Alligator mississippiensis: one gene and its partners. The protein of the gene in region 1 interacts with the protein of each later gene in a pairwise test. Links are inferred from orthologs where the notes say so. Each region holds a gene or a part of one and is shown in the gene's direction. Other genes may lie near its edges. The genes, in order: RASSF5, SMAD4, UBQLN1 and BTRC.

Region 1 (7,860 bases):
ATCCAGGAGCGATCGCAACCTAACATCGTACGAAGCAAAACTTTTGGATTGACTTTTCCAGGGAGCCAGGTACATTTATTTTTATCTTTATTTTTTAAAAAAAAATCCCGCTGAACATTCAAGCCGAATCTTTCATGCTGGTTCCCCGACATGATATGCCTTTGTCTCTCGGTTCTTCTGTTTGCCCTCTTTCCTATATGTGGAGGTTGGCACGGCCTTGTTACACATCAGTTCAGTCAAACACGCAGCCTTCAGTTGTGCAAAGGTCTGAAAGGCTGTGTTTATGTAGATGAGCCAGGATCCTGAGCAGTGGGGAGAGGGGGCCTTTGCTACTGATGTGATGAGACTAGAATTGTGCAGGTCAGAGTGGCACTGAATATCTCATTTAATTTATACCTCTTGCTGTTAACAGATTATGGCACTATGGGCTTTTAACATGGATCCAGCATTTAACTGCAGTCTCGCCAGTTCATGCCAAACTCCACAATGGGAGACAGAGATACGGAGAAATCAAACTTACTCTCCAGTGTAAGAGATGAAAGCAATCGTCTCTTTGCATGATTTTCCTCTGACTTAAACTAGGAGCATTTCTGCTGAAGTCAGTGAAGTTGCACCAGTTTTATGCTAGTGCACATATGAGAAAAGCTGATCCAGTGGTTGGGAGTGCTAGTCTGTGACCCAAATTCATCTCCCTGCTTTAGTACAGGTGTCGTATGTGACCTTGGGCCGGTCACTTAACTTTTCTGTGCCTCAGTTCCCAATCTACCCAGTGGAGTAATAGCAGTGCCCGGTGCACATGAAAGATTGTGAAGCGTTCGGGTACTGCGGTAATGGGGTCCAGCGCTATAGATAGTGTTACGGACAAAGAACTGCTCTGTGCATCAGGAATCCTAGTTTAGGGAAGGAAGAATCCTCTCTCGGTTGGATTCAGGAGTGGAAGTTGGCTGTTTTTCTGTTCCTACTCTTCATCTGATCTTGGCCGGATCACTACTACTTTGTGCCTTTCTCTCCTGATTTATAAACGAGCCTAGGCTTCTCGGGCATGCAGCAGCCTGACGCTCAAAGGCTTTATAGTTTCAGGTCTGCAAAGAATATAGAGCTGTGTTTTAAGACCGCTGTTGCCCTTTGTGCTGCCTTTTTATAATCTCTCCTCTCAGTGCAAAAGGCATATAAAAATGAGTTTTCCAAAGCAGAGATTGCAGGGACGTCTGAGCTGGCAGAATCCTTTTGCTACTCAGATTTTTGATTTCCCAAAAGGCTTGTTTGAGGTATGCATATCAGGTGGTTAGACCTGTACCTCCTTGAGGTGTTCCGCTTCCTTAGAAGGCAAGCCACGTTTGTGAGAAGAAAATATTCCAGGTTGCCCACTTCACGTGATCCCTCTGTGTAGCTCTACAGTGCTAGTATAATTGGAGTGGGAAAATTTAATTAGTTCCAGCTAGCTTTTGGGGCCTAGTCAACCCTCCGACTATGTAGCAGCAGAGCTATTTTGGTTGGGAGCGTGAATTTGTCCCTGTGTAGTTACACCAGTAGAACTCCAACTGCGGGGATATTGGTATAAAGGCGCTGTATAGCAATAAAATGTATTCCCCGTCCTCTATGGGAAATAAGGTTACAGTCATATAAATGCACTTCTACCTCTGTAACGGCATCCACACTATTGGAGCGGATCCATCTGAGCTATGGCAGCCTAGTTTAAAGCAAGTACAAGCCTTGTGCACAGACAAAGCGGGTGTGTTGAAGCAGAGAACGGGTTGCTGTCTTCTGAGGGTGCCAGGTACCGTGACTGCTGGTTTTCCAAGCAGAAAAGGCTAGAGAGCAGCTGGAGCAGTCTATTGGAATTTCCTATAGGAAACTTTTGCTCAGTTGTTTGCACCCAGTGTCCAGGTAAAATGCAGTAGGAACCCCTTTCTTAATGCCAAGCACTTCTCTGGTACCTCCGACTCAGAGGCTTGCCCTCTGCGCTGATTGCCTAATGCCTCCAGGCACCAGGAGATAGGAAGGTGGGGTTATTCCCCGTTGTGAAGGCTGAAATGCTCATGCCATCACCTGACTCCAGGCAATGGGGTAGAGGCGTTCAGAAGTGCTAGGTCTCCAAATAAGGGAGCAGGAATTGGTAATATTGCATTTATTGTATATGGAAATGGAGGCACCTAGGATCAGTTTGTCCCTACGCTTGAGGTCAGAGTTTATAACTGGGGAAAGTTTGTGCCTTCCAGCTAGACTCAGCCCGGTTAGAAACAAGACTTGGAGAAAACTGCAATGACCCCAAAGGCTCAGGAGTTGGAGCAGACAGGGCAGACGGTCCTCTCCGCGGTTCTTGTTCACCCACCTCTAACACTCATAGTTGTTTTAAAAAGAGCCGGGTGAGGCTTGGCCTTTCTTTTTGGCTTTGTGATTGTAAGTCTGCACCCAATAGAACGGCTGTGGGGATATTTTAAAATTCAAATGGAAGCTTTTAAAAAATAAAATAAACATAATCTGGCACTGTTGGCAAATACTAGCAAGTGCTAGCGCCTGGAAGACAGCAATGGGAAATGAGAGAGTTTGTTTTCACTTGCCTCCCACCATGTGCCACATGAAAGTAAAAGGCAGCAGTGAAACTTTCAGACGTTGGAGGCAGGCAGCTTTATAAGGGGTTTGGTAGTTTGGTTTTCCCTAGCCACTAAGTTTGCAAATGTGCAGTTCCCAATAAGTTCAGCGAGATGTGGTGATGCCCGTGACCTGTGGATCCCCAGCCCCTAAGTGCCGGGAATAAGAATTTAGACTCTCCAAAGTTTGAAGTGGTTGGGCAGCCGTGAAAATATCTTTGTTTTCACAGTCTCCAAATCTTACTTGCAAGAAAAGGAAGGAAAAGTGTTTAAGTGGGTCATTGCTTTCTATAGTATCGTGGAGCACGTGCCATGGAGCAGACCCCAGTCCTCTTGACAGTGGACACAGAGCTCAACGTCAGTCTGTACCTGGAGGAACTTGGCACAGGGGCGTAGACTCAGGGATGCTGAGAGAGGGCTGAGTGTGCGGGAACAAACCCTCCACCTGGCGTGCAGTGCTGAACCTGCAGCAATTGCTCTGTGACCAAACACACTTAAGATACAGAACCGCATAACTTACTTCCCAAGGAAGGGCAGGACTGACTGTTGTGATCAGTCTGACGCAGACACCCAAAGCTTCCTTTCAAACAGTCCTTTGGCCTCTGCCATGGCTTTGGGGAAAGTGGTTTGTTACTAAGCCAATTCCTATTACAGGCAGCCGGTCTTCACCAGCTTGGGTGGAACCGTTGAATATTTAGGCAGCAGGTTAAGATTTCCAAAGCGCCCCTAAGGCGAGATTCCCAAAGGCATTCGGGTGTGCTGGAAACCCCCCTACCTCCCTTTACACAGCTGGTGCCAAGCCGTATTTTCAGAAGGGACTAAGGCAGGGAGGATGCTGTGGTGCACTTGCACCCTTTTGATCCTGCTCTACCCAAAGTTTAAAACCAATTGCCTGGCAGAGGCAGCAGCATTTCTAGTCAAGCAGCAGTGAGGGAGCCAATGGACTTCATTCAGATTACCCGATGACGTCTCAACTTTGTTCCATGGGTGTTCACGACCTGCTCTCCTTTCTAAGGCTCTGGTTGTTGCACGAACGCAGCGAGCTTTTCTTCGGCAAGGCTGCGGTTTGTGAGCTGCTCCTGCCAGGGTAGCTCCTCTTTTGCAGCCTGCGGACCGGTCCTAACGCGTTCCCGTAGGAATTGCAGTTGTGTTGGGCCCGTAGTTATGCTACACTATGGTGTTGAAAAGCGGTATGGGAGAAAGAAGCCTCCTGGCCGCTGGATGACCTTGCAAGAAAGGAAAGAAATAAAACTCGCACTAGCGAGCAAAAAGACACGGAAGGGAGAATGAAAATACCAGCTGCAACTGCTGCAGTTACTAATGAGAGTGCAAGTGCGTGAACTTAGCCAGCAAAACTAAAATGAACATCTTGGAGAGAGAGAGAGAGAAGAGTAGGTATGAAACGGGGAAGGGACACGCACACGCAAGTATAAATGCAGGAAGGAGTTGGGAGACATGTCCGGCAAGGAGACGGAGGGGAGAGTCTCCTGTCAAGGGCAAGCTCCACCAAGTTGAACCGATTGCTAATTAGACCCACTGAGCGCTGTCCAAGGATAATAAACCCTTCTGAGCTTTCATGGTTGAACATGGATCCAAGCTGTGCTTTCTGCGTTGCCTTCAGGACCTGGAAGATGGCTCGCAACCAGCAGCCTGGACATCAAAAGCGACATCAACCCCTTCCTGCTGAGAAAAGAAAACCCTCCGCTCACGGCAGAACAACCCTCCGGTACACTTCTGTCCTGGCATCCGTCTGAAACCGAATCGCCCGGCCTAGCACCCAGCTTCTTCTGACCTCGAGAAAAATAGGGGCGGTGTTGGAGGGGACGATGCCCCTCAGCGTAGGCACCCCCTTCTCGCAATCCTGGGTTTGCCCGGGGATGGAGACACGGGGGAGACCTCCCTCCCCTTTCCTCGAGGAGTTGGGCTGGAAGCAATGAGGCAGGATCAGCCCCTACACTCGGCCCGAGCCCGCACTGAGCTGGCACCCGGAGCTGCCCCAGGGCCCGCGGCCTGTGTCTGTGCGCCCCTGAGCCGGGTCGGGGCAGGAGCCTCTGCGCCAACAGGTGCGGGGCGCCCGGCCGGTGCGGGGGCGGGCACGGCCAGCAGCGCAGCCTCTGGGGGGGGAAGGAGAGGAGGCCGAGCCGAGCCCTGCCCAGCCTTGGCTCTCCAGGGGCGGGCGCCCGGCGCGTCTCCTCCCCCGGCCGCGGCTCCGGCTCCAGCTCCAGCTCCTCCCGCTCGTGCGGTGCGGTGCGGTGCGGTGCGCGGTGCTGCATGGCGCTGGTGGGGCAGCTGCCCCGCGCGCTGCGCCTGGACGCGGAGCCCGAGGCGAGGAAGCGGCGCCGCGCCAAGCGCGAGCCCCCGCGCGCCCGCCGCCTGCCGCCGCCGCCGCTGCTGCCGGGGGACGGGGACGGGGACGGGGACGAGGAGGACGGCGATGCGGGGAAGCCCCCGGCCCTGCCCCAGCGCCTGCGCCGGGCCGCCCCGCGCCTGCTGCCCGACGTGCGCACCATCTTCCAGCAGCCGCGGGACCCGCGCGTCCCGCCCGAGCGCGGCCACGGACACCGCTTCCAGCCCGCCGCGCCCCGCCTCGCATGGTGCGACCTGTGCGGCGGCGCCGTGCGGCCCCCGGCCCTGCGCTGCGCCAGTGAGTGCCTCGCTCCCCACCTGCCCGCCTCCCTCCTCACCCTGCCTGCTCCCGCCCTCCCTGCCTCCCTGCCCAGCCGGGGTTGCGTGGGGAGCCCTGCCTGCACAGGGGCGGACTCCCCCTGACTGGGTTTCCTTTCTCCTCCTCGCCTGCCCTGTGCACGGGGCGGGGGGAGCCCCTGCCCTGTCCTGTCCCGCAGCTCTGCCTCATTGCGGGTTGGGTTTTTCCCCCCTGCGCTGCCTCAGACCGTCCCCGGCTGCGTGTCCCGGGAGCTGCCCCAGCCAGGAATAGACCCCCTCCGCCTAGACTGGGCTTCTTCTTTCCTCCTTGCCTGACCTCTCTCCCCAGCTGTGCACGGTGCGGGTGGGAGCCAGGGACTGACTAGAGGGGAAGCCTGCCCCTGTCCTGCCTCCTTGCTTGCAGGAGTTGTCCCAGCAAGGGGTAGATAGATGCCCTCTGCCTCACTGCGGTTTGGTTTTCCCTCAGTGCTGCCTCAGACCGTCCCCAGCTGCATGCCCCCGTCAGCCAGTGATTGACTGGAGGGGAAAGCTAACCCCTGCCAACAGGAGCTGCCCCAGCGAGGGCTAGATGCCCTCCGTCTGATTGACCTTTTGGTTTTCCCTCAGTGCTGCTCAGACCGTCCCCAGCTGCACGCCCCAGGAGCTGGGGACTGACTGGAGGGGAAGCTAGCCCCTGCCTGCAGGAGCTGCCCCAGCGAGGGCTAGATGCCCTCCGTCTGATTGACCTTTTGGTTTTCCCTCAGTGCTGCTCAGACCGTCCCCAGCTGCACGCCCCAGGAGCCGGGGACTGACTGGAGGGAAGGCGGCCCCTGGCTCGCGTCCCTGCCTGCAGGAGTTTCCCCAGCCAGGAGCAGACTACCTCCGCCTGTCTGGGATTTTTCCCCTGGCGGCTGACTCCGCCGTCCCCAGCTACACAGCGCGGTCCAGGAGCGCGCCTGGCTCCTCCCTGTGCCCCCGCCGTGTCCTCACCTGGCACTCGGGATGTTTTGCAGGTTTAGCTTCTGGAGCAGCCGCCAGGGTTTTTTTGCACCGACTAGGTGGATGCGGGATGTCATTTGAAGGGGTGTGGGGTGGGATCCAGCGTGGCAGTATCCGTTTAGTCGTGTGGCTGCGAAGGGCATTTGGAGAACAATTAGTCGGGTCCCTTCGCCGAGCCTGGCAGCAAAGATGCTCGTCACGCTCTGCGAATCTGTGGCAGCAATGAGCTTGCAGGGGTCGTTTTGGTCACTACCGTATTAAGGTACCATCTGGCGTTTTGGCTGGAGAAAAGAAAAATGGCGATTCTGGGAGGGCTGGTGACATGTCATAACAGTCGGTGTTGTGAAGCACGGCAAGCAGAAGTGAGGAACAAAGCCATGGGGGTCCTGGTGGGAATGAGCAGTAACTTTACCCACTATCTGTCAAAGACTTTATGGGAAATCTTCGTGCAGGAGGTCAGTGTTGTTATGCCCTTTATACAGGTGGGGAAACTGAGGCACGAGGCGATGAAGCAACATGCCCAAGGTCAGCAGACCGGTAGCAGAGCTGGGAACAGACTTCTTCTTCCTGGGTCCCAGTGTATTGTGCTCTTTACCAAGCCATCCCGATAGCTGCACTTGCTGGCCCCTAGAAGAGTAGTGCCCCTGCATGGTGCACGTGTTACTGCCAGCATATCCCTGTCATATCGGGAGGGGTTTTTTTTCTCTCCGTAGTCTCAAGGAAATCTTGGAAATGTTACACGTGGGGGGGATTTGATTGAACTTAACGATCGTGGTGGTACGCTAGAAGCGCAGATGGGAACATGCATGGCTGATTTTTGTAGGTATGAAAACTTAATGGTGGATAGAGTTGCATTTTCTTGTGAGCCGTGCTGCTGCCAAACTGCTCATTCTTTCCCTTTGTGTGCGGCTGATAAATAGACCTTGGTTTTCACTGGTGTTTTAACCTTCACCCTGCGTCTACTTGTTGAAGCAGCTGGAAATGACTGTTTCTGATTGCAACTTCCATGTGACTACTGTACTAATGGTTACAAGAGTAGAGAAGTCAGTAATTAAATTGTTCCTCCCCAAAGACAGGACTGATGACTTGAGCTGGACTGGATCTGTATTTTATTTCTCAACAGCTCCCCATTTGCACGGCGACTTCTCTCTGTCCCCTCTGTGTTCATGGTTAGCTGTTCACTTTCCGAGCCTGCCTTGTGCAGCATGTCGAACATCGTAAAGCGCATCTAATCCTGATGTGCTTGCATATAATTAAGGGCTTCTCATCGTAAAATGTGTCTGGCAGGGGACGCGTGCTTCAGAGGTTATGCCAACGCTGCAGCACAGTGTGTGCTCGGGCTCCACATGTGGATCTAGATTCGCTGTACACTCAATATTGATGAGGGGAAAGAGTTTCTGTTCTTTAAATTCACTCTGCAGGTTGCTCTGTGTGCTGAATTGCTTACGGATGCATTTCCCAGCTCTAACGAAAGAAGCAGAGATAAGGCACCTTTTTAGCTGAAGCAGCGAATGAAATGGGAACGTTTCTTCTGAGCTAAAACGTAGGTCCATTTTATTACCCATCTGCTGCAGTTTGGAAAAGGAGGTTTCATGGGAGTCTAATCAGGTTGTTTTTTTTTCCTCCT
Region 2 (7,638 bases), on another chromosome or scaffold:
AAGTTATGTTTCCTGGACCTCTCGGACCTTGGATGGAGACAAATGCAACATTTCCTCTGGATTTCCAGCAACCAGCACGCTGCAGGAGTGTGCATGGGAAATGCAGAGGATCGGGGTGTGCATCTGGAAGCCTGGCCACCTCCTGCAACTAGGCCCACCTACTTGTTAAGGTGCAGAGCCCAGAACTGGATGCAGTACTTCAGCTGCAATCTCGCCAGTGCTGAGTGGAGCAAGAGAATCACTTCTTTGCAATGGTTTTGCTGGAGATGCATCAATTGATGCATGCCAGTGTATGGTTGGCCCTGCTGGCTACAGCATCGCATTGCTGGCTCATGTTCGTACAGTGGTCAGTTATTACCCTCAGGTCTTGGTGACAAGTTATGGGGGATTTTCAGTCCTCCTGCCTGATGAGAGGCAGCAGTTGCACAAGCACCCATGTCATGAGTTTTGCCTGTGAGCAGCTAGGGGTGCAGGGCCCCAGAACCACCCCGCACCAGCCTCCTTGACAGCTGGCAGGCTTTGTGGCTGCAGCAGGACCTAGCAGCCAGGCCTGCAGTAGTTTCCCCCCACCTCTGCCCCAAGACAGACAGCTGCATAAACACCCCTGGCACGAGTTTTGCCTGCCTGTGGCCAGAGGTGCAGGGCCCCAAAACCCAGAACCCCTGCACCTACCTCCTTGATAGCTGGCAGGCTCTGTGGACTCAGCCGGGGCTACCATCCCTGCAGTTTTGACCCCACTGTGGCTTAACACATACACGTGACATGAGTTTTACTTTCAGGATTTGGGGGTGCAGTTTCTCCGAGCCCCCTGTACCTATCTCCTTGAAACGTGGCATGCATCATGGCCTCAGAAGGGGCTACCATCCCTGTAAGTTTAATTCAAATCTGGCCAGAAATGACAAAGTTATAGCCTGTTTTGACTTTTCCCATTATATCCTATGGGCGAAACATCAAAACAGGGTCGAAACGGCAAAATGTTTCGACAGAACGAAACAGAACAGCCGTTTCGACTCGAAACAAAAGTTGAAACAAAACACTGTTCTGTTGAAGCGCTGATCGAACAGAATGCTGCCGTTTCGCACAGCCCTACCGTTTATGGGGAATTCATAATCCAAAACCCCGCCTGGACTTAACTGCCTAAAGGGATGGTCTTATTGAATCACAACTGGGGAAACAAAGGGGATGACCCACCACAACAACTGACACCAGTGAAGGCACCATTTAGTATTTTAGCTGGGGAGTCATACTAAAGCTAAGGTAAAAGAGTTTGATGCCTTTACCTCAATTTTAGGAGCTGCTTAGCTTGATTAATTAATTGTGACTGCAGTGGGGCTTTCTTTGGGCTAGGCTAATTGCATTAAGCAACTGTCAACAACATTTATTTTCCCCAAATCAGACAAAGTAGAATAATGCATAGATAGACTGAGGTATGGTTTAAAATGAGTACTGTATATTGTAAAAATCTATACAAACAACTTTTAAAACCCAGCCTTGAAAGGCTTATATATAAAAGTTGTCCAACTATGGTCAGTGGGATAATTTATCTAAAGGGGGTGTTGGCAAGAATCGCTATTGAGGAATACATGAGTTTGCTGTATCTCCCCCCCCATCTCCATCCCCTTTATCCTGGTGTAATAAGTGCACACAGTGAGCTCTTACGAAATATCCTGGCCAAGTTCTCCATCTTGACAAACCTTAAACATTTCAGAATCAACCCTAAAAGTGAGAGTTTTTTTGCTAGAAGAAATTTAAAATGTTTAATTTAAGACAGTCCAGATGGAAAAGGAGGGATTTTTTTCAGTGAATGGTGGCTAACACTATTTTTGTGAACTTCAGCATCATTAAACTAATACTCAGTATAGGAAATTCATTTTGGACCTTATCATCATGGTCATTTTTTTTAAGGAACTGTGTTAGTTGAGCACCTTGCATCTTAAAATCAAGGTTCAAAGCAAGACCTTGTGTGGCTTGGTGTGGAGAGGTGGAGCAGACACAGCGCTCTGTTCGCCCTGCCAGAAGACTCCTTTGGTCCAACCCAGGGCTCCACAGAGAGGACAGAGGATGTGCTCTTGAGCTAAGATTACTGAACAAATGCACTGATAACCCCAGGCAGCATCAGTCTCCTGCAGCATGGCAGTAGACACCCAGGGCCCTAGAGAAAAACAATTTGTGAGGAAGAAGCAAAATCATTGCCAAGGACAGTTCCTATTATCCACTGCTGCAGCCACTGCTATTTCTGTCTGAAATCTAACTGGTAGGGTGCATGCATGTGTGTAAACTCAATAGCTGAAGTGGAAAAATGAAGTCTCAGCTATCTGTTTCTTCATATCCTTTTCTTCACACCAACTTCAACCCAGCTAGAGCCTGCTAGGAAGGAAAAGGACACACCTGTTCCTGGGAGCCCGAGCTTCCGCCAGCTGGCCTGGCAGAGGATGCCCTTTCCCGCATACTAGCCCTTCCCGTCCTATATGGCAAGACTTATGCTGGGGTTTCCCTAACCCGTGTCTCTCCAGTTTATCTAGCAGGCAGGAAGCCATGCACTCGGTCCTACTCATGTAACCTGCCCCTACGTCTCCCGGTCAGAAAGGCCCCAGATGTCTTAATGGGGCTTGAGGGGAAATGCAGAATAATAGCGCTACTCTGCTGCAATGCATCAAAGGCAGAGATAGGGGTTTTGTCTGACTCCCACCGTTCCCTAGAGATGTTTGTGCTCGGGATGTACTCTTCTTCGTGACTGAAAAATTTGTTTGATGGAGGTTGGTTGGGCCCGGGGGAAAAGCAACGTCAGGCTGTGGATGGGGGCACTGAGGAGAGGAAGGGGCACCAAGGTTGAGAAGGTTGAGAGGCGACCTTGTGGCTGCCTATTAGTTCATCACGGGGGCACAGAAGGGAATTGGTGAGTATTTATTCACCAAGGAGCCCCCGGGGGTTACAAGAAATAATGGCCACAAGCTAGAAGAGAGCAGATTTAGATTGGACATTAGGAAGAACTTCTTCACAGTTCGAGTGGCCAAGGTCTGGAACGGGCTCCCAAGGGAGGTGGTGCTCTCCCCTACCCTGGGGGTCTTCAAGAGGAGGTTAGATGGGCATCTAGCTGGGGTCATCTAGACCCAGCACTCTTTCCTGCCTATGCAGGGGGTCGGACTCGATGATCTATTGAGGTCCCTTCCGACCCTAACATCTATGAATCTATGAATCTAAGGTGCAAAGCTGGAGGAGACACTGGGGCTTTCCAATCTCCAGGAGTCGCCTGGTGTGACTTTTGCTGCTGAGGCCTGGCCACACAGCGGAGCAGGAATGAGACCCAGCCACTGGGCACCATGAGGAACTCTCTGCTGGCTTTTGCCCACCTTGCAGGATGCAGCCGGCCCAGCTGGCAGGAGGCCAGCCTGCCTCTGTGCACCTGTCTGCAGGCTTGGCTTCTCACCCAGGGATGTAATAAACCCAGGAGTCCTCCCTTTCTGCAGCGTCCTGCCCCAGTTTCATTATTATTTGTCCCAAGGAATCAATTGCCACCTTTCCTGCAGTCTCCCCACCTGAGGAATGCCAATAAGAAACTTGGTGGTAGGGTTGCCAACTCTCTTTGAACCTATTCCGGGAGGTTTCGTCACATTGTGAAGTCATTAATGTCATCATTGCATATCAGGAAGGCAAATGCAACATTACTATTACATTTTAAAAACCTACTGGACTACTATATAAATCAGATTCAACATTTAATATTTGTTTTAATGAATGCCCTAGCTTTTATCAGCAGTCTCCTGGAGATTTCTTTCTAATTCCTGGAGACTCCAGGGCAATCCTGGAGGGTTGGCAACTTTACTTGGTGGGCCTCGTGACAAACTTTCCGCAGCACCCCCAAAGCGTACGGACAAACTTTCCGCAGCATCCCCCAAAGCGTACAGACAAACTTTCCGCAGCACCCCCAAGCGTACGGACAAACTTTCCACAGCACCCCCAAGCGTACGGACAAACTTTCCGCAGCACCCCTCAAAGCGTACGGACAAACTTTCCGCAGCACCCCCAAAGCGTACGGACAAACTTTCCGCAGCACCCCCAAAGCGTACGGACAAACTTTCCGCAGCACCCCCAAGCGTACGGACAAACTTTCCGCAGCACCCCCCAAAGCGTACGGACAAACTTTCCGCAGCACCCCCAAGCGTACGGACAAACTTTCCACAGCACCCCCAAAGCGTACGGACAAACTTTCCGCAGCATCCCCAAAGCGTACGGACAAACTTTCCGCAGCACCCCCAAGCGTACGGACAAACTTTCCGCAGCACCCCCAAAGCATCAGGGCTCCCTGCCCTTGCCCACCCTTCCCTACCCTTCCCTCTAACCAGAGCAGGCAAAGAAGAACACTGCGCTAGGGAGGGCCCCGCACCCTGAAACATAAAACGCCGCCCTTCCAAACTGGAAAAACACCCCAACCAACCAACCACCCCAGCGCCTCGCAACCATAGAGACGTCTCGCCCCTGCGCAGGCGCAGTCCGCCCCTCAGGGATGGGGGGGCGGCGGCGGCGGCGGCGGCGGCCGCGGCCGCGCGAGGGACCCGGATGTGGCGCATGCGCGGGGCGGCGGCGCTGGACGTGTCGGCGGCGGAGCGGCGGCGGCAGCGGCGGTAACAACAACAACCGGCGGCGGCGGCGGATCCAACCTCCTCCCTCCCCGCGGCCCGGCGCGCCCGCCCGCCCCGAGCCTGGGCCGGGCCCTGCCGCAGGGGAGGCGGCGCCGGGCGGGCGGGCGGGGAGCGGGGGGCCCGAGGCCCAGGTAACCCCCCTGCCCCCCACATCCGCACTAACGGGCCCTCTGACGTCACGGCGAAGTGATTCGTGACGTCACGAAGGAGTCATTTCTATTGGGGGGGGTTTCTCCCCTTCTTGGCCCTCGCTGGGGAAACAAGACCATTTGGGGGGGATTTTTTTTGTGGGGGGGGGGGAGAGGATGTTTTTGGGCAGAGAGCCCCAGTCCGACGCCCTGCGGGCGCTGCGGGGCCTTTCCCACCCGCCGCGTCCCGGAGCCGGGGCTGGGATGTTTCCATGCTTGGTCTCAGCCCGGAGGGGAAAGGTTTTTGTTTTCCTTCCTTCCTTCCTTTCTTTTCTTTCTTTCTTTCTTTCTTTCTCTCTTTTGTTTTGTTTTTTCTTAAATCGCAAACACGGCGCACTTCTCCCTTTGCAGATTTCAATCAGGAGCAGATGTGAGCTAGTGCACCCCGCGCAGACGTATCCAGGCTGTATTGGCCGGGCACAGTGTTGTGTTTTTAAAATTTTTTACTATTCCTTTTGTGACTTGGTTTAGCTGTAGTTATTTCCTCTGTTCCTGAGATTTTTTTTCTGCTGAACTTGAAGGTTTTTTCCCCTGAAAGTTGGATCTTGTCATGTGTTTTGAAGCAGTCTAGTGAAAGCCCGTAGGGTCAGGGGCTCTCTGTGAAACTGTCTTGGGTCTTGCTGCTTTCGTTTGATGTTTGTCGGTGTAAGTGTCTGTCCCGAAGGGGTATTGCAGTGGGTCACGGGGGGAGGGGGAACCTTTCGGGTCTCTGTTAAGGCCACAGCATTTAGATCAGGATCTTTAACGTGGAGTCATAGTTGAATGGTGAACCAAGAGCATGGGCAGCTCCTTCCTCTAAGTGCTGGTCATCCTCCGTCTCAGTAAAACGTGATGTAAATGGATTTGGTAAAAGAAAAAAAAAGCTTATTGTTTGAGCCAGCGCAGGCTAAAAAATGGTTAAGTGAACGTGCGATCTTACCCATCAGCTCTCTTCATTTTATATCTTCTGAGTTAGTGTAATTGCTAACTTCAGTGACAAAGTAAGGGGGAGGGGTGTGTGTATGTGCGTGTGTAAGCATGTATATGTGTGTGTGTGTATGTATATAAATATCTATCTCTCTCTCTAAATAAAAATACTACCATAATCCTTGCACGTGTTCAATTAGAAATATTTGTTTTGTTGAATTTACACGGCCTGTCTGTTGCACTTGAAAATGCTGTTGAAAATAGTAGGAGTGCGCAGGTGGAAGCTGAGGAAAAACAGTCGAATACTTCACCGTAGGCAGCTAAATCTTAAGATTTCTTCGTTTCACAAGAAAAAGTGGTCTTTGCCATTTGTGAAATATAGTCTTAGTCTCAATTCAAATAAGCTTAATTATTGCTGCTGCTTTTTTTTGCTTGAGATAGCTGATATTGCCCGTGACGCTTTTCTAAATTGCTGTGGTTGATTTTGTATTAGCGTGCCAAAACTTAGTGTGCCAAAATTATTCTTTCGGTGTGACTTGTTAGTTTTCTGTGTTGTAGTATGACTTCTGCTCTGTCCCAGTTTCAGAACTGAGACTATGTAACTATTCAAATTCAAGAAAAGTGCTAATGTTTAAAGAATGTTATGGCTAGTTTGCCTTTAGTTCTTGTCATACAGATCCGTGCCAGGCTAGTCCTGCACTAGTACTCCTCATTTTTGCTATTTAGTGCTGATTGTGCCTGTGTGTGTGGTTCTTATTCCCTCTTCAGGTTAAAAAAAAGAAAGTTTTTGGCTGGAAAACTCAACAAATTGCTCATACCTGCATCAATTTGTGAAATGTTTTGTTGCATGTTTGTGAGCCTGTTTTTTTAAGTTTGCTAGTGAAAACTCAAGTTGTAGTAGCACAGTTAGACAGTGGTGAGATATCCCTTGAAGTCAGCTGCCTGGGGTGTTAAAGACTTTGTCAAACATTGATGTATGTTGTCACATACTTGCTTAATAGTTTAAGTGTGGTTGTAAATGCAGTTGGTCACTTTACCTGCCTCTTGTTTTTGCTGTTTAAAGGTATCTAGAAGTTTGTCACATTCTGCATTACCATAGGAAGGGAGCTCGGAGGTAAACTGATCTAGCTCCCTGCTCAAGGAAGGATAATTCCTGACTGAGCCTTCCCAGTCAAGTAACAGGGTAACTTGTGTAATGAACCATTTTTTTTTCATTATTCAGACTGTATGAATGGTGGCTACTGTCACTTGGTAAATCTAGTGCATTCTAGATTTTCTTTCTTAGACTACATATGCCCTTGACAGGGGCCTGGTGGAGCCCCAACCCATCATGTTTTAAAGAAAAACATAGCTTTTGTAAAGCTTCAACAATAAGAAATCTTCTACTCCAAAGGCATAAGAAACACTTCAGGAAGTAGAGGACCTGATTCTTGTTGAAATCTGTTACAGAATAAGCCAGATCAAGACAGACAAACCTGCAGGTCCAAAGTTGTGCACAACATACTTCCCCACTGCTGTACAGATTGTGACTGAAGTGTTTCTTCCTGATTCTGTGGAGCCGAAATATCTGGTCCCTCTCTGAGCCAGGTGGGCAGCCAGTGGGACTTGCTAGTCAGCTGAGGGCCCACCTGGCTGGAGTAGAGGCAGGCAGTTTGGCTTCAACAGGACTTCAGCTGACTTAAGTGCTGCTAGCTTAGCCCTGAGCTTCCTTGCCTTTCTTTTCAAGCTGGACGAGCCCTCGGCTAATTTTTTTTAAGATACTGTTAGCTATCCACCATAGTTGATGAGGGTCCAGGCAGTTTGGCACCAGTAGGATCAGGCCCTCAACTGGTAAAGCACTACTGGCTGAGCCCAATTCCCAACCCCTCTTGCCTTATTTGGGGGTGGTATGTGAGAAAATATGC
Region 3 (6,939 bases), on another chromosome or scaffold:
GAGAGAGAGATGGACTGCAGCAGATTCTAATTTTTTCTGTGCCTTCTCACTGAGGCAGGGCACCCCCACAGGTGGCAGAAGGTCAGGGATTCAGCCCCCGCCAAATGCGGGGCAGCAGGTAAAGCCGCAGGGCTGCCTGGCCGCAGGCTTCAGGTGGCTGCAGTAGGGGTGGGGAGGGGCATGCACACAGCCAGGATTGCAGCCTGGCATATGAATCCCTGGCTGCCCAGCATAGCAGGCAGGCCGACTCATCTTATCCAATAGAACCTGCAGCTGCAGGGGGCCCCGCAGCCAGCCCCTGCCCCTGACACTGCCGTTGGCTTCTTCAGCTGCTTGCCACCAGCTCTCTTCCCCCCCCCCCCACCATGCTACTGCCAGCTTCTTTGCATCAGGGGGCCCCAAAACATTGTGGGCCAGCCCTGAGAACAGGCAAATATCATCAGTCTATTCTGTTAGGAGGAAGGGGCATGGGGAGGCAGATCGAGGTTCCCATGGTAAGGGAGAGAGTGGGGCAGAGGCAGGGGCATGGGCTGTGGTAAATGGGGCCCTGGCCAGGCTGGGTGTTGGGACAATCGGAGCTTGGGAAGCTTGTCCGGGCGGGGGGGCAGCTTCTGCTGCTGTGTGCACCCTGACTGAGGCCTGGGGGGGGAGGGGCACATGTCCCCCCAACCTACAGGTGAGGCAGAGGTGGCTGTCGTTGTGTGCTCAGGCTCTGGGCCCCACTACAGCTGCCCCAGGAGTGGTAGGACGCTACGCGCCTGCCGCTGCTGGGCTGCACCGTGCCCCCAGCTCGCCCAGTGGCAGGACACGCGTGCTGCCCCTGGAGCAGCTGTAGCAGGGCCCAGAGCTGTCTCTGTCTCGTGAACAGATGGGGGGGGGCACATGCCCCCCAGGCCTCTGCCAGGGTGCACACAGCAGCAGGAGCCCCCCCTGCACCCCTGGATGAAACGCCTGGGCTCTGATTGTCCCACAGGGCCCCATTCACCGCAGTCCCTACCCCTGCCTCTGCCCCATTCCCTCCCTCACCGCAGGGACCTCAATCTGCATCTTCCCCCCCCTCCCCCCCGCCCTTCCTGCACACTTGCCTGCTGGGTGCAGGGGTGTGGTGCACAGATGCACTCAGCCCTCCCAATAATTTTTTCTCCTTCCATTTATGGGAGCCCCACTAGCAGTTCACAACCTGTATAATTTAATGCTGGCAATGTGCTGGGGTGGTGGAGGTAATAAGATAAGATTGACTTCAATTTGAGCAGTACCGACACCTGGGCCTAATTTCAGAGTGATAAAATTCTTCCACAGTTCTTTACTTGTGTATAGTTTGGTCATCCATTGAGTTCATTTGTCAGTTGCCAGTAGTTACTTCCATCTGAATTTGGTATCTCCATGAGACAGCTTACATTTGAATGCCTTGCACTGCAGGTGCTTATCCCCAGGAAACACCTGTGCCAGGAATGCTCTGGCATGTGGCAGGTTACTTTGGGTGGGGTAGGAGAGGCTGGGGCCAGCATAATTGCTGGCCCCAGATGCCTTACCTGGGGTTCTGGGGGATATAGGGAACAGCAGCTGTGGCACTCCTGCAGCTGGAAACCTAGCTGGCAGCCCAAGTGTGGCACTGGCCAGCCAGGTTCCAATTGTGGGCAGCATGCGCTGCGGCCATGTGCAACACACTGCTTTTTTTGGTGTGGGTTATTTTGACCCTAGGCTCCCCTGGGGTCAACCCCCCCCCTCCTCCCTGCACTGCAAAGTAGCAGCATGGGGAATGCCTACATGTGCAGTGTGTGGCACCGGAGATGGGTCTTAGGTGCCATGTACCACATGTCCATGCTTGTCTGGACGCACCCATGGAATAATGGCTGGTTGAAATAGGTGTTACACAGTGCAGGAATCAGCTTGTGGTGAGGAACGGATGCTTTCAGGGCATTGTAGTGTTCTTGACACAGCAATGGAAGCAGGAGTCAGTGTTTTTTTAGGTTGTGTTGCAAGGACTGGGTGCAGTGTGATCTAGGCTAGGGACAGACATTCAAAAAGCCAGAGCCTGAATTGATTCAATATTTGCAGGTTAGTCTAACCAATGTAGATTGAACTGATTTGCAAGTGACCAGAGGTTCAGTTTTGATTCTGGAAATGCAGGCACATGCCTGTGATGGCTCAGGCTAGAAGCCAGAGATCTTCCTTTCAGGCTAGGGGGAAGCTGAACTGAGACAGGTGTGGCCAGGCCTCAGCAGACTGAGTTCGTTGGACAGGGGTTTAAACCCCCAGCCTGGCCTGCAGGGACCCCAGCCAGGGTCTACCCCTCTTGTTCCCTTCTGCTCATGGCTCAGCATGGCCTGGAACCCCCAAAGCCCTTGTCCCAGCTAGCAGGTGATCCCACTGCACCTTCCCAGCTGCTGGTGCCTAATTTTACTTGGGGCAGCCCAGAAGCAAAGGCCTAATTGTGGGGAGAGAGGGACCTAGGAGCAAAGTTCCATAAAGGAAAGCTCCTGTCCAGTGGCCCCTTCTACCCACTGGAGCGCAGCGCCTGAGACGGCCACAGTCTTTGCTATGCTGTGCATGGCAGGAGCTCACCTGCTGAGCCCCAGCACTATGACCTGTGTCCCCTGGGCACCAAACTGGGCGCACTGTGCTCACTGTTCCCTTATCCAGTGGTGGCACAGCACAGCCCCGTGTACCAGGCTCCAGGTTCCCTGTGGCTTCCCTGCTGCCGCCATCACTGTTGGGTGCCTGCCCTGGCCGTACAGGTAGGTGCCAACACCACTGCCGAACTGCGGTCAGCTACCAGGTGTGCAGACAACAGCTGGGAAGCCCTGGGGTAGGGCCCTGCCCCTAGTGCACAGGGCTGTGCTGCATCTACAGCTTCCCCGCTGCTGCCTGGGGTGTGGCCAGACGCAAACCTAGCATGGTCTCCTAAGGCCAAGTGGGCAGGGAGGAAGTTTATTCCCCACTCCATCCCCTCTCCCACCAAGAGACTGCAGCATGGCCCAACCCAGCTACTGCCTCTGCTGCTTGCACCTGGCCAGGCAGACCCCAGCTGTGGTCCCCTGGTGGGTGGGGGAAATAAACCTCCTCCCTGCCCCCTTTGCCTCAGGGGGCCATGGCAGGCTGGCATCTGGCCATAGCCCCACCCCTACTCCAGCTAGAGAGCAGAAGGGCAGGGCCAGCCCTGCTCTCTGGAGCACAGCGCATAGTACAGCACCACCCAGGGCTGCAGAGCATGCTGGGAGGCTGGTTTAACTTAACCCAGGAAGGGGTCTGGGACAGAAATTCTATAAACTAGTTTGACCTAAATCAGTTCAGGCTGATACTACATTCAACCAGGTTTCTCTCAAACTGGTTTCAGCCATTTTGAAACTGGTCTGTGTGCACTGAACTTCTGTTCTGTTATAGGTTTAAACCAGCTTCTGATCACTTCAACCCGTTTATGTGTAACTTCTGTCCCTTGCCTTGTGGGGTGATCAGCACCAGCAAGCATATTCTCAAAACGAGGGTAAAGCAACTGAGTGGGTGGGGGGTGTTGTATTAGTAGTGTGCTGTTCCTGAATTGATATTGTAGCCCGTCCTCACTTTTGGGGGGAGGGGGCAAGCTGCGCTGAGCCTTAACCCCCCGCCTGAGCCCGTGCTCAGGTCACGCGCAGCTGGAAGAGCAAGCTACACGACCGGCGGCCGAACCCAACCAGCCACAGCGCATGCGCGTCAGGACTGCTACGCACCCTTTACCCTAGTGTTACATGCGCACGCGCAGCGAGTGACCCGGCAGTAGCCGGAAGTACCCCCCTCTTCACAGCCCGGAACACCACCCCGTTTCGGTCCCACGCATGCGCACTGCCCGCCCGGCCCTACCGCGCACGCACAATGCAGAGTCACTTTGCTGCGCATGCGCAGCGTGGCTGAGCCGCGTCTCCAACGCCAAGCCGGGAGACACCCCCTTCTAGTAACTTCCCCGCGGGGCGACGTCATCACCGCGCGCCACGCTCCGCCGGGCTGTTTCCGTTGAACCCTCCGGCCGCGAGGGCTTCCGGCGGCGCGGCGCGAGGGAGCGTGTCCCGAGCCGGGTTCCCCGCCGCCATGGCAGACAGTGGAGAGGGGCCCCCCGCGGCCCGCAGCCCCCCGGGCTCCCCCGCCGCCGAGCCGCGAATCATTAAAGTCACCGTGAAGACGCCCAAAGAGAAGGAGGAGTTCGCCGTGTCCGAGACCAGCAGCGTCCGGCAGGTGAGGAGGGAGCGGGGGAGAGGGCGCCCCTTCTCGTCCAGGGCCGCGGGGCGTCTCCCCGTCGCCTCGGAGCTCCCAGCGGCTTCGGGGCGGGCGGAGCGCGCGGCCTTCCCCCCCCCCCCCGCTTCCGGGCGCCGCCGGCCTGTGCGGGGCCGGCTGGGGTGAGTGGCACCCGCTGAATCATCCCCCACACACCCCCCTTGGGGACCTGACCTGTCCACCCCAGTCCGGACCCAGTGCGAGTCCATGAGATGGTAGAAAAGGAGGGTCTGTGGAGGTCTAGTCTAGCTCCTTGCTCTGAGCAGGGCGTTCCCATCTGTGTGGCGCCAGCCAGGGCTTTGTGTTAAAGGTCTCCAGGGATGGCAACTCCACAAATTCTTTAGGCAGCCTGTGCCACTGCTTTGCTGTCCTCCGGGGCAGATCAGGCTGGCAGTGGTGGGAAAAGAGCAGGGAACTAGCGAAAGAGGTGGGTTTAGGGCCAGAGCTGTCTGGCTGAACACCGCCGCCCCCCTCTCCCCCCCCAAAAAAAAAAAAAAATAGGGCTCCAAGGCCAAGGACAGCCTGCTCTGGTCTTGCACCTGTGTTGAAATGCATTCAAGTTTTTCAGCCTAGCTGGAAGCGTTCCTGTTGAAGTCATAGCTCCCTTTTCTGTGGCCTAATGAGCTGTATTCTTCCCACGTGGTACTGCTGCCTGTTTCTCCATAGCATCTGACATAGCAGGCTGTATGTAGCCTTTGGCTTGTGCCTGTGAGTTAGTCTGTAAGGGGCCACCCTGCCCAGCCTGCTGCCTGTGTACATGGCCAGTGTCTACATGCAGAGACTGACGTGCCAGCTGCCTGGTAGCTAAAGAACAAAGCCACCTTTTAGGACAAGGCTGCCAAAACAAGATGGGGGTTCCAGTAGCAAGATGCAGGGCCAGCCCCCTGGCTAGACTTTCCCTCTTGCTAGCTGTCAGGAAGGGGGAGGATGCTGGAATTTCTTCCAGGGTATCGTCCCTGAGCCCTTTTGGGATTCAGTCTCTTATCTCAGCTTTTGGCTTAAACATGTCTGAAATTGTAAAATTCACTGTTTTACTGCTGAGCAGGGGAAACATCTCTAGGCTCCACCATGCTACCATGGAGCTGTGGCAGGGTTGGGTGTTCTCTGTTAGTTTGTTGCAAGCATGTTTTCTGGCTTTTCTCCCCAGTATAAAACTCAAGCACATCTGCCTTTGCTGCTGCTCACTGCCATTCCAAGAAACAGCAGTGTAAAATGGACATTGTTCTTTGCATTTCCTCGCTGCTCACAGAGACCTGAGTAGTATCCCTGAAACTGACTGGTTTTATTTCTGCTGTTTTTGTCAAACCTGTACAGCATCACATCTGATCTGTTTAGAGATGGTTGGGGAATATAGATGCACATTTCACAAAAACTGATGGATGTTCCTCCTTAATTTAAAGCTCCTTACTGGGTAAAAATGACACTATGCAATTAAGTATAAGCTGATGACCTAAAAGCCTTTTAAGAAATAATTTAAAAAATGTCCCTGTGGTCTTGCAGGCACTAGATTAGGGTTTGCTCAAACAGCTTTCCAGTTGCAAATGGATACACTGACATTTGTATTTATAACTAACTGGGAAGAGAAATGCACTTAGATGTGACTTTTGCCATTAATAGTTCCAAAGACATTTAAGCTAGACATTTAATTTTGAATTGCATTTCTTAAATGTGAAGCTTTAAAACAGGTGAAGTGTTTCCTCTGACAGCTGTCTAAAAATTGAAATTGCTAGGCTTTTTTTTTTTTTTTTTTAAACAGAGACATGAGATGCTTTCACAAAGCGATTTACAGAATATTTGTGTGCCCACTTAAAATGCAGATACGATAAGCAAGGTGGTTAAAATAAGCTTACCCTGTTGAGGAGACCTTGAGTTAAATCATGGCTCTGTTGAAGTCTGTGGAAAAAACTCCCACTGATTGTAATGAAGCCAAGAAGACTTCACCTCTGACTTCCAGCCCTCATACTTCTGATTCCTATACAAAAATGGAGGCAACTTCTAACCCCTACAGGGATTTAAGGCCTGCAGTTCCTGTATCTTAGGTATTAGTAGCTACGCCTACACTATGAAACTGACCTATTGTTAACAGTATCAACAATGGTTTCATTTGCATAAGCAGTGAAAATTTCAATGTACAGACAGAACCAAATAAATTTTGAGCATCAAATCGTCTGTATCTGTTGTGAACAGTGGCTTATTTGACTAATGCAAGCAAGTTATTGGCATTATCCTCTTCCAAAAATGGATAACGGTCCTGAACTTATTTAGTAGCTTATAGGTATGTCTGGAGTGCCTGTGTAGTCCTATGCAAGTTGAGGTCATACGTGGTACCTCTTTGAACCAGAAAGGGTAAATTTCTTATCTAGCTGCCAGGTGCAGTGTAGGCTCTAGTACATAAGCTTGTTCTTTCATAGGTGTTTCTGCATGGTACTCCATTGTCATGTAGACGTACCTAAATAGCTTTTCAAATCACCTTGTAATGAAGGAAATGGTTAGTAATTTGAGACATTGATTGTCCCTTTAAATAGAGTTCACTGGGTTGTTTGCTTTAGAGTAGAGCAGTTGGAATCCAAGTAAATGCTTTGGCTCCTTAGAAAAGCCTGTACAATGCTGAGTCTGTTTTGTGCTGCTTGATTGATGTGTAAAGTGTTACTGTCACTGTGGTAGAATTTTCAAATAATGTCCAAGTCGGATTGT
Region 4 (7,529 bases), on another chromosome or scaffold:
CGGCCTCGGCCTGGGGCATCTATTAACAACCTTTTATAGGAGCAGGATGCTGGTGGCCACAGTCCCCTTGCTTTCCACGTGGCAGGTTCAGGTGTGATGCCTGGTGCTGTGTCAGGGCTGGCAATAGTTTTATGTAGAGTTTAGATGATGGGTTTTTCTGGGCTGGTTTGCACAGGGCTGATCCTGCCTCAAGCAGGGGTTGGACTCGATCTGACCTCCGCAGGTCCTCTCCAGCCCTGCGGCTACAGGATTTCGAGGATGATTCTAGCAATCACGGGCAGCCAGGCTCTCGGTGACTCTCAGCCACATCACTTGTACCTACATTTGTTTCAAATTTGCCCTGCACTCATGTCCAGCCTCTTTGCGGTGTGAGCAGGCAGGGCAAAAAGGGATCGGTTCCTTCTCACCCCCCGACCCTCCATAGTTCTGGATCTCCATTTCGTGCACTGAGATCACTGCCTCTCGCCCAGTCGGGGTGGAGTTTGGATGCACAACACATTTACCTGCCTTTGGGCAAGATAAAGGGGCTCATGGGTACAAGACAAGCTGCTAACCTGGGGTAAGGGTCTCGAATCAGGTGTAGAGCTGCCCAGGGAAAAGTCAGCCGTCATGATACCCCGGTGTAAGTTGTACCGATGAAGTGCCGCATGTCCACAGCGATCCAGGGATATCCACGTGATGGAGCCTGTCACAGAGTCCCCTCCAAGGGGTAACTGCAGTCTTTGCAAGTGCACCTCAAAGCCAGCCCTGCTGTGTCTCCTAGAGCAAGTGGAGGAGCCCGGGCTCCTTCTGAAACCCTGGCCTTTTGGTCTCTCGTCTTTCCTGGTTTTCCTTGGAGCTGCATCCAGTTGTGCCCCGGGAGAGGCGCTTTACCCTCTCTTGCTGCGGAGAACAAGGGCTGCCCCAAGTCCCAAGCAGCAAACAGGCAGCTCTTGCTTTCAAAAGCTTGTTCATTTTATCCCAGCTCTCTCCCACAAAAATGCACACCTGCTTCAATTAGGGCCGAAGTCACGCAGCCAGAGGGTGTCTGCCCCCTCTTCGAAGGCTTACGCCATTCCTCTGTCCCCCGTCCAGTCTGCACAGCCCAGCTAACCATGAAGATCGCTCCACTATTCTCTTTCCAGGCCCAGAGCCCCCGAAGATCCTCTCCTGGTCTCCGATCCAGCCTCTCAGGCCAGGAGCTGACACCTTGTTCCCATTCTCCACCCCTTCCTATGCTGGTCTCGTCCACCTTCCCTCCAGCCCCCTGGCCATCTCACCTTTGCTGATCTGTCAACAAAGCTACTGAGGGCTGTGGCTGGCAGAGGTCCATCTGTCATCTCCTGCTTCCTTGTCTCTTTAGCCCATTCCTTCCCCATGTACGAGCTTGGTGGGGAAAATGAGGCACGCAACATCATTCATAACACCATAACGCAGAAAGATCCCAATAAAATCCGCAAGCCGTCACAGAGCCTCCCACATGTTACACCTGTACCTGAGCACTTGGCCTCGCCTTTTCCTTGTGCTCTCCCTTAGCTGTATTCACCTGTTGTCTCTTGCCTTGGACTGTAAGGTCCTTGGGGCAGGGCATGTCCTCTTGTGGGTTTGCTCAGTGCCAAGCAGAATGCAATCCTGGTCCCTTCCTAGGGTGCCCAGCCCCTGTAGGGATACACGTAACAGCCACTTTAATAACCCCGGTCTCCCTTTCAGGCCGAATAAAAGAGCTACCCCCTGGCAGCATGTGAGGTCAGGCACAATTTAAGCTTTGTAATTCCTTTCACTGGTCTGTGCTTGTTATAATCAGAAGAAGTTCAGCTCAGAGAAGTCACCGATAGATAAAGCAGCCTTAAGGGCTTTGGGGTAGCAGTGCGGGCTCCCGCAGCAGTACACTTTTCAATTTCCCTACAATTAAGCCGGCCTCAAATGTTATTGACAAATAAAGCACAAAAGCAAAACCACTGAACCTTTCCCGCTGCTACAGAAAGGTTCCACTTACCTCCCTGCCAGCTGCCGCACGCCTGGAGGGCTGAGACTTAGAGCCGTCAGAGCCCAAACTCTAGGGACTCCCAGCCTCTTGCAGCAGTGGAGAGTGGCTCCATTCTAATTACACTACTCCCTCATCCTAATTACTGTTATTTAGGTAATGCCGAAAGTGTAGGCAGTCTTGTCAACAGCCTGGGAAATACCCAGCGCGGTGACACGTCAGGCATGACAACCTGCTTTAAGCATCACCATCCAGCCTGCAAGACCGGGGGAGGGAAGGGACGGGCTGGCTGGCACGCAAGGTGTGACTGGCCTTTCGGAGCTGAAGGGAAGGCAGGAAGGAGAATGAAATGATCCAGGGGTGAGAGCACAGAGATGTGCAAGGGGACCTAGGGCAGAGGGGAAGCAGAGAGATAGAAGCAGAGGAAGAGTTGTGCTGACATGGAGCAACAGCCAGGGTTTCAATGTGACTTTTAGTTTGCAACGAATCCATGGACGCAATGCTTTCATTCCCAGCAAGCCAAACTAAACTACATTGAGGAGTTTTACTTTAATGCACAAGAAAGACTTTTAAAGCGTTGGGAAATCCCGCGCGTGCAAACAGACATGCAGTTGCTGCACATGAAAGGGCAAAAATTGTGGCATGTATAAGTCCCATATCTGTAGCTTCATCCATTTTACTGGGTATTTAGCACCACTGGTCCCCAACTGCAGGCACATTTGAGGTGGTATTACACCATCAGAGTTTGGGGGCAGGGGTTCTCATGGTGTGTACAGAGTCTAGCCCAGTCAGGTTCTGGCCCCTGAGTAACACATACTCACAAGGGTCTGCTAACACCCCCTCCCCATGTTCTGTGCAAACAAGACCTGATTTCCCAGTGAAGTCCGGTCCTTATTTAAATAATTAACAAGCGATTTCTCTTTGTTGATGAAGGGTGCTGGGGCACTTCAGGGTTAAGGCAAACTGAGTATGTGAATTCAGGAAGGGGGCTTCCCACAGCCTGCAGTTCTGGCCATGTCTCCCATGCCTCCTTCCTGATCTGCTTATGGGGGTTAGGGGGTTGGAAATGGATCTGGGGCTGGGACACATGGCTTGTGAGGAGAAGCTGAGGGAATTGGGATTATTTAGTCTGGAGAAGGGAAGATTGAAGGGGGATTGAATAGCAGCCTTCACCTCCCTGCAGGGGGGCTGCACAGAGGATGGAGCTGGGCTGGTCTCAGTGGGGGCAGATACAGGACAAGGAGCAATGGGCTCAAGCTGCAGCAAGGGAAGTTGAGGTTGGATATTAGGAAAATCTTTCTCAGAAAGAGGGTGGTGAAGCACTGGAACAGGTTACCCAGAGCGGTGGTGAAGTCTCCATCCTTGGAGGTGTTGAAGACCCGGCTAGACAAAGCCTTGTCTGGGATGATGTAGTTGGGGCTGGTCCTGCTTGGAGCAGGGGTTGGACTAGATGTGACCTCCCGAGGTCCCTTCTAGCTCTCACTGTCTGTGAGTCTATGAATATGTCAAGTGTATTCTTTCCTCAGTAATCCTCATGGTTTCCTTACTAATTTATAGGATTTTTATTTTAAATGGAAAGAATTGCAATGAACTCTTTAAACATAAACTGGCTGCTTTTCGTAGCTCACAAAAAGGCGACATTTGTAGTATACCTCAATTTTTTTATTTTTTTTTTTTTACAGCCAGCTCTTTTAGCTGCACTTGTTCTCGTGGCTTTTGTGTAAATATGTTTGCTGTGCTTGACATAAGACACTTGTAAAGGTTAAACTCGATCTGTTTGGCTAGGTGCAAAATGCTTATTTTTATCAAGGCCACGGATTTTTCAGGTTTTGTGCCCTAAGAAATATTTTTAAAATGAATATATATAAACATATTAATATATACAAATTAATATGTGCATATATATCTATTGACTCAGGGTTATCTATCTATGGGTGATAGAGTTATATCTAGATAGTTATATAGAGAGAGATATCTATCTATCTATCTATCTATCTATCTATCTATCTATCCTATACCCATAGATAGATAGATAGATAGATAGATAGATAGATAGATAGATAGATAGATAGATAGATATGGGAGATATCTATCTATCTCCCATATTTCTCTCTCTCTCTCTCTCTCTCTCTCTCTCTCTCTATATATATAATCGATATATGTCCCATATCTATATCAATATCAATATCAATATCTATCCCTTATATATATCTATATCTGTATCTCTAGCTGTATCTCTATCTCTTATATAAATGGGCTTCATGTAGCATTTGGCAGAATTAAACGCGAGCCCCGGGATGAGGAGCTGAGCCCTCTCCCCCTGCCCTTGCCTGTCCATCAGGCCCCTCAGAGCCCTTGCCAACTACAATTCCCGGGAGCCTCCGCGGGTTTCCCGACTGCGCATGAGCCCCGCGGCGGGGAGCCGGGCCGCGGCCGCGAGGGCTGTTGGGGGTTGTAGTCCCCTTCCCTCCCCGGGCCCTCGCCGCCGCCGCGGCCGGGGACTCCATGTCCCGGGGGCCTGCGCGCGGCGCATGCGCGCGGGGCGGGGGGGGCGGAAGAGAAGCGCAGGTTTCTGCCTGCGCTGGCTCCGGCCTGGCGCTGAGGGAGGGGGCGGCCCCGGCCCGGCCCGGCCCCGCGGCGGGACTATGGACCCGGCGGAGGCCGTGCTGCAGGAGAAGGCCCTCAAGTTCATGGTGAGGGGCGGGGAAGGGCTAAGAGCTCCCTGCGGGGCTGATGGGGGTGCCCCCCCCGGGCCTGCAGTGGGGTGGGGGCCCTAGGGGCAGGGAGTGGGGGAGGGGCGTGATGGGGTGCCCCACCCCCCGCAAGGCCTGAGGCAAGGGCCTGGAAGGGGCGTCTGGGGGGTCATGGGGTGCCCCCTACCAAGGCCTGAGGCAGGGGCAGTTGTGCGGGGTCCTCAGCGCAGTGGGGGTGGGGAAGGGGCATTATGGGGGTGCCTCCCTGCAGGGGGGGGGGGTTAAGGCAAGGGTATGGGTGGGCAATGGGGTGGGGGAGGGGCATTATATAGGGGTCCCCCCAAAAAAAGGGTGGGCAGTGTGTGTCCCCCCCCCAACAGGGCTGTGGGGGGTGGAGGAGGGGCATTTGGGGGTTCCCCCCCCAAGGGCTGATGCAGGAGTCTGGGAGGGTCTTCAGGGCAGTGGGGGAGGGGCCTGGGGGGTCCTCATGGTAATGCATGGGTGGGGGGAGGGGCATTATGGGGGTGCCCCCAGCATGGGCTGGGGGGGTACAAAGCAATGGGGGGGGGCTGCTGAGGCTAGGAGCTGGATGGGGGGTGTGGGGGGGTAGCTGGCTGGGGGGCTCTGGGGTGGGGATCCCCTCCATTGGTAGGATTTGGGGGCCACGAGCCTGCGGAAGAGGGACACGGTGCCCGGGGAGGGGGCACGCGCCGGGCAGAGACGTGTCGCGGGCACTCCAGCCTGCCCGGGCACCAGGGCCTGTGGGGGAGGCCGGTCCTGCCCCTGCCCCTGCTCTGCGGGGGGGTCCCGTGGGTGCGACCCCCCCGTCACAGCCCGTCTCCATCGCTTTTCCTCCCCACCCCCTTCTACCACCGGCTGGGGGCCGGCCTCTCTCGCTCTTTCCGCCCACCATATTTTCCTTTTCCTCGCTGCTTTTCAAAGAACGAGCCTGCCCGTTATCTTGGATCCTGAGCCAGACACTAGTTTTTGGGGGCGTCTGCCTCCGAGTCTGGTTTGTGTAGATTAGTGGTTTAGAGACACTGGTTTCAACTCTCGTTTCATTCGTCTTGACCACAGGTTTAATTCCAGATTGGGGGGTTTTTTGTGGTTGGTTTGGGCTGGAAAACAGTCGCATCAAGACATTTGCACAAACATCCACGCCACGTTAACTGACCGTTCATTTCAGGTGGGCTCAAGTCTTCTGCCTCCGAGGATGTCAGTCAGTTGACAGGCAGCGTTTGCTCCAAGTTTGTTCTGGATTAGTCCTTTCAGTGGCACAGATTTAAATCTCTTCCTCGGGAGCAAAAAAAAAAAAAGGGGAAAAAAAATCAGTTTAAACCCTCAGAATTTATGCCCCAGGTGGAACTAGCGAAACACTTGGTACAAATCTTGGTTTTCATTTGCACTTCAAAAGCGGTAGAAATTCTCAGCGTATAATGACCTCCATTTATTTTCTTGTACAATTGATAGCCCCTTGAAGCCTTCTCTCCTCCTGTTCAGACCATTGGACTCTTCTCTCAGCGCCCTTTATTTTTGTTAGATTTACAGGCTTTCAGGTGGTAGAGGTGGGAAACGTATGCGGTGCCTGAGTAGCTTTGGGAGTCAAAATTGCCTCCTTTCATCTATAATCGATCAGAAGTTTGCAAGAGATCCCGTTGCGTGTGGATCTGGCCAGGTTGGTCCACTCATTCGTGACTTAGGTTGGATCTGTCCAACTCGTTAGATCTCAGGTGTAACAAAGCCTCGCACCCTGGAAAGGGCCCAGCTGATAAGGCGTCCTGCTTCCTGGTATTGTAAACGCATCACACGGGTGCTCTGCGCTGGTCCCCATGGAATAAAGATTCCAGTCTGAGCTCTTCGTCCAGACATTCAGAGCCCTCCTTGAGATTGGCTTGTGCTCCCTGAGGCCCATCGGGCCTCCTGCCCTCCATCTGTGCCCCACAGACTGCAGAGAAACCAGAATTAAGTTGCTGGATTCGCTTTGAGTGTTAAGAGTGGCCAAGACACCCCGTGTACTGAGAAGTAAATGTCAAACGTGTCTCTTCTGAGTGCAGCTGTCACGCAGTAAGTTCTTCACATGCATACCTGCAGCCCACGTAGACAAGCACCCAAGCAAGAAAAAACTGTGGACAGCTCACATGTTGTCTTCTGCTAATTGGCAGAGGATGGAGCAGTACTTTTCTTTTTAATGCATTGTTGGCTTTTTCTCCCCAGCACTGAACTTGATAGGATCTGAGTGTCTCCCCAGTAATTAGACAGGCAAAGCTGAGCTTCACGGCGTCTTTTGCTTTTCTCCCTTCCATGGTTAGAGAGGTTCTGCATCAGTTAGGATGGGGTGGACGAGAGAAAGTTTTCTTAACCTGAACCAGGTTGTGGGGGGGAAATCCACTGGGTGTTGTCTTGATATTTAAATAGTTGGAGTTGCTTAGATGCCATAGTGAGGAGAGCCACGTAAGTACAGGCGTAGATCTGGAAAAGACGGATTAGATGCGTTTCAGTCCATGCTGACTCATCCACAGTACATTTTCCTGTCAGTCCAAGTGGATGACAAATTTGGCATACCTTGATTCTTACTAAGTGGGTCAAAGCATGGCTCACTTCAGTCCAATCTATTCATTATTGATTTGCACAGCATCTTTTCACAAGTGTCAAGGTGCCTTCCTTATTTAAATATTGAAACACTCTTTGAAAAGACCAGACTCATTATTTCTCCGGGCCCCAGTACAATATTTACAATTTGGCTCCGGATTCACACAACAAACAATAAGGGCTGGAAGCAGCCTTGTAGGTGGTGATATTTTTGTTCTTGTCTGTATGATTATTTTTCATTTAAAAAATGCTTGCCTGGTCCCTGGCAATGATTTTGGAGCAGT

What was found.
Region 2: the proteins of RASSF5 (region 1) and SMAD4 interact in binary tests that used the Homo sapiens proteins (3 or more experiments, as listed by UniProt). The link is inferred for Alligator mississippiensis from reciprocal best matches to the Homo sapiens genes RASSF5 and SMAD4.
Region 3: the proteins of RASSF5 (region 1) and UBQLN1 interact in a two-hybrid assay, tested with the Homo sapiens proteins (3 studies listed by BioGRID and IntAct). The link is inferred for Alligator mississippiensis from reciprocal best matches to the Homo sapiens genes RASSF5 and UBQLN1.
Region 4: the proteins of RASSF5 (region 1) and BTRC interact in binary tests that used the Homo sapiens proteins (3 or more experiments, as listed by UniProt). The two-hybrid records come from large-scale screens. The link is inferred for Alligator mississippiensis from reciprocal best matches to the Homo sapiens genes RASSF5 and BTRC.

The regions. Positions count from the first base shown.
Region 1 is NC_081837.1:41,643,355-41,651,214, forward strand, and holds the start of RASSF5 (ras association domain-containing protein 5), read left to right. Parts: upstream 1-4,847; 5' UTR 4,848-4,862; coding exon 4,863-5,235; intron 5,236-7,860. UniProt on the Homo sapiens protein: Potential tumor suppressor. Seems to be involved in lymphocyte adhesion by linking RAP1A activation upon T-cell receptor or chemokine stimulation to integrin activation.
Region 2 is NC_081826.1:287,955,731-287,963,368, reverse strand, and holds the start of SMAD4 (mothers against decapentaplegic homolog 4), read left to right. Parts: upstream 1-4,628; 5' UTR 4,629-4,771; intron 4,772-7,638. UniProt on the Homo sapiens protein: In muscle physiology, plays a central role in the balance between atrophy and hypertrophy. When recruited by MSTN, promotes atrophy response via phosphorylated SMAD2/4.
Region 3 is NC_081826.1:202,971,535-202,978,473, reverse strand, and holds the start of UBQLN1 (ubiquilin-1), read left to right. Parts: upstream 1-3,926; 5' UTR 3,927-4,062; coding exon 4,063-4,206; intron 4,207-6,939. UniProt on the Homo sapiens protein: Plays an important role in the regulation of different protein degradation mechanisms and pathways including ubiquitin-proteasome system (UPS), autophagy and endoplasmic reticulum-associated protein degradation (ERAD) pathway.
Region 4 is NC_081829.1:99,941,459-99,948,987, forward strand, and holds the start of BTRC (F-box/WD repeat-containing protein 1A), read left to right. Parts: upstream 1-4,514; 5' UTR 4,515-4,608; coding exon 4,609-4,656; intron 4,657-7,529. UniProt on the Homo sapiens protein: Substrate recognition component of a SCF (SKP1-CUL1-F-box protein) E3 ubiquitin-protein ligase complex which mediates the ubiquitination and subsequent proteasomal degradation of target proteins. Recognizes and binds to phosphorylated target proteins.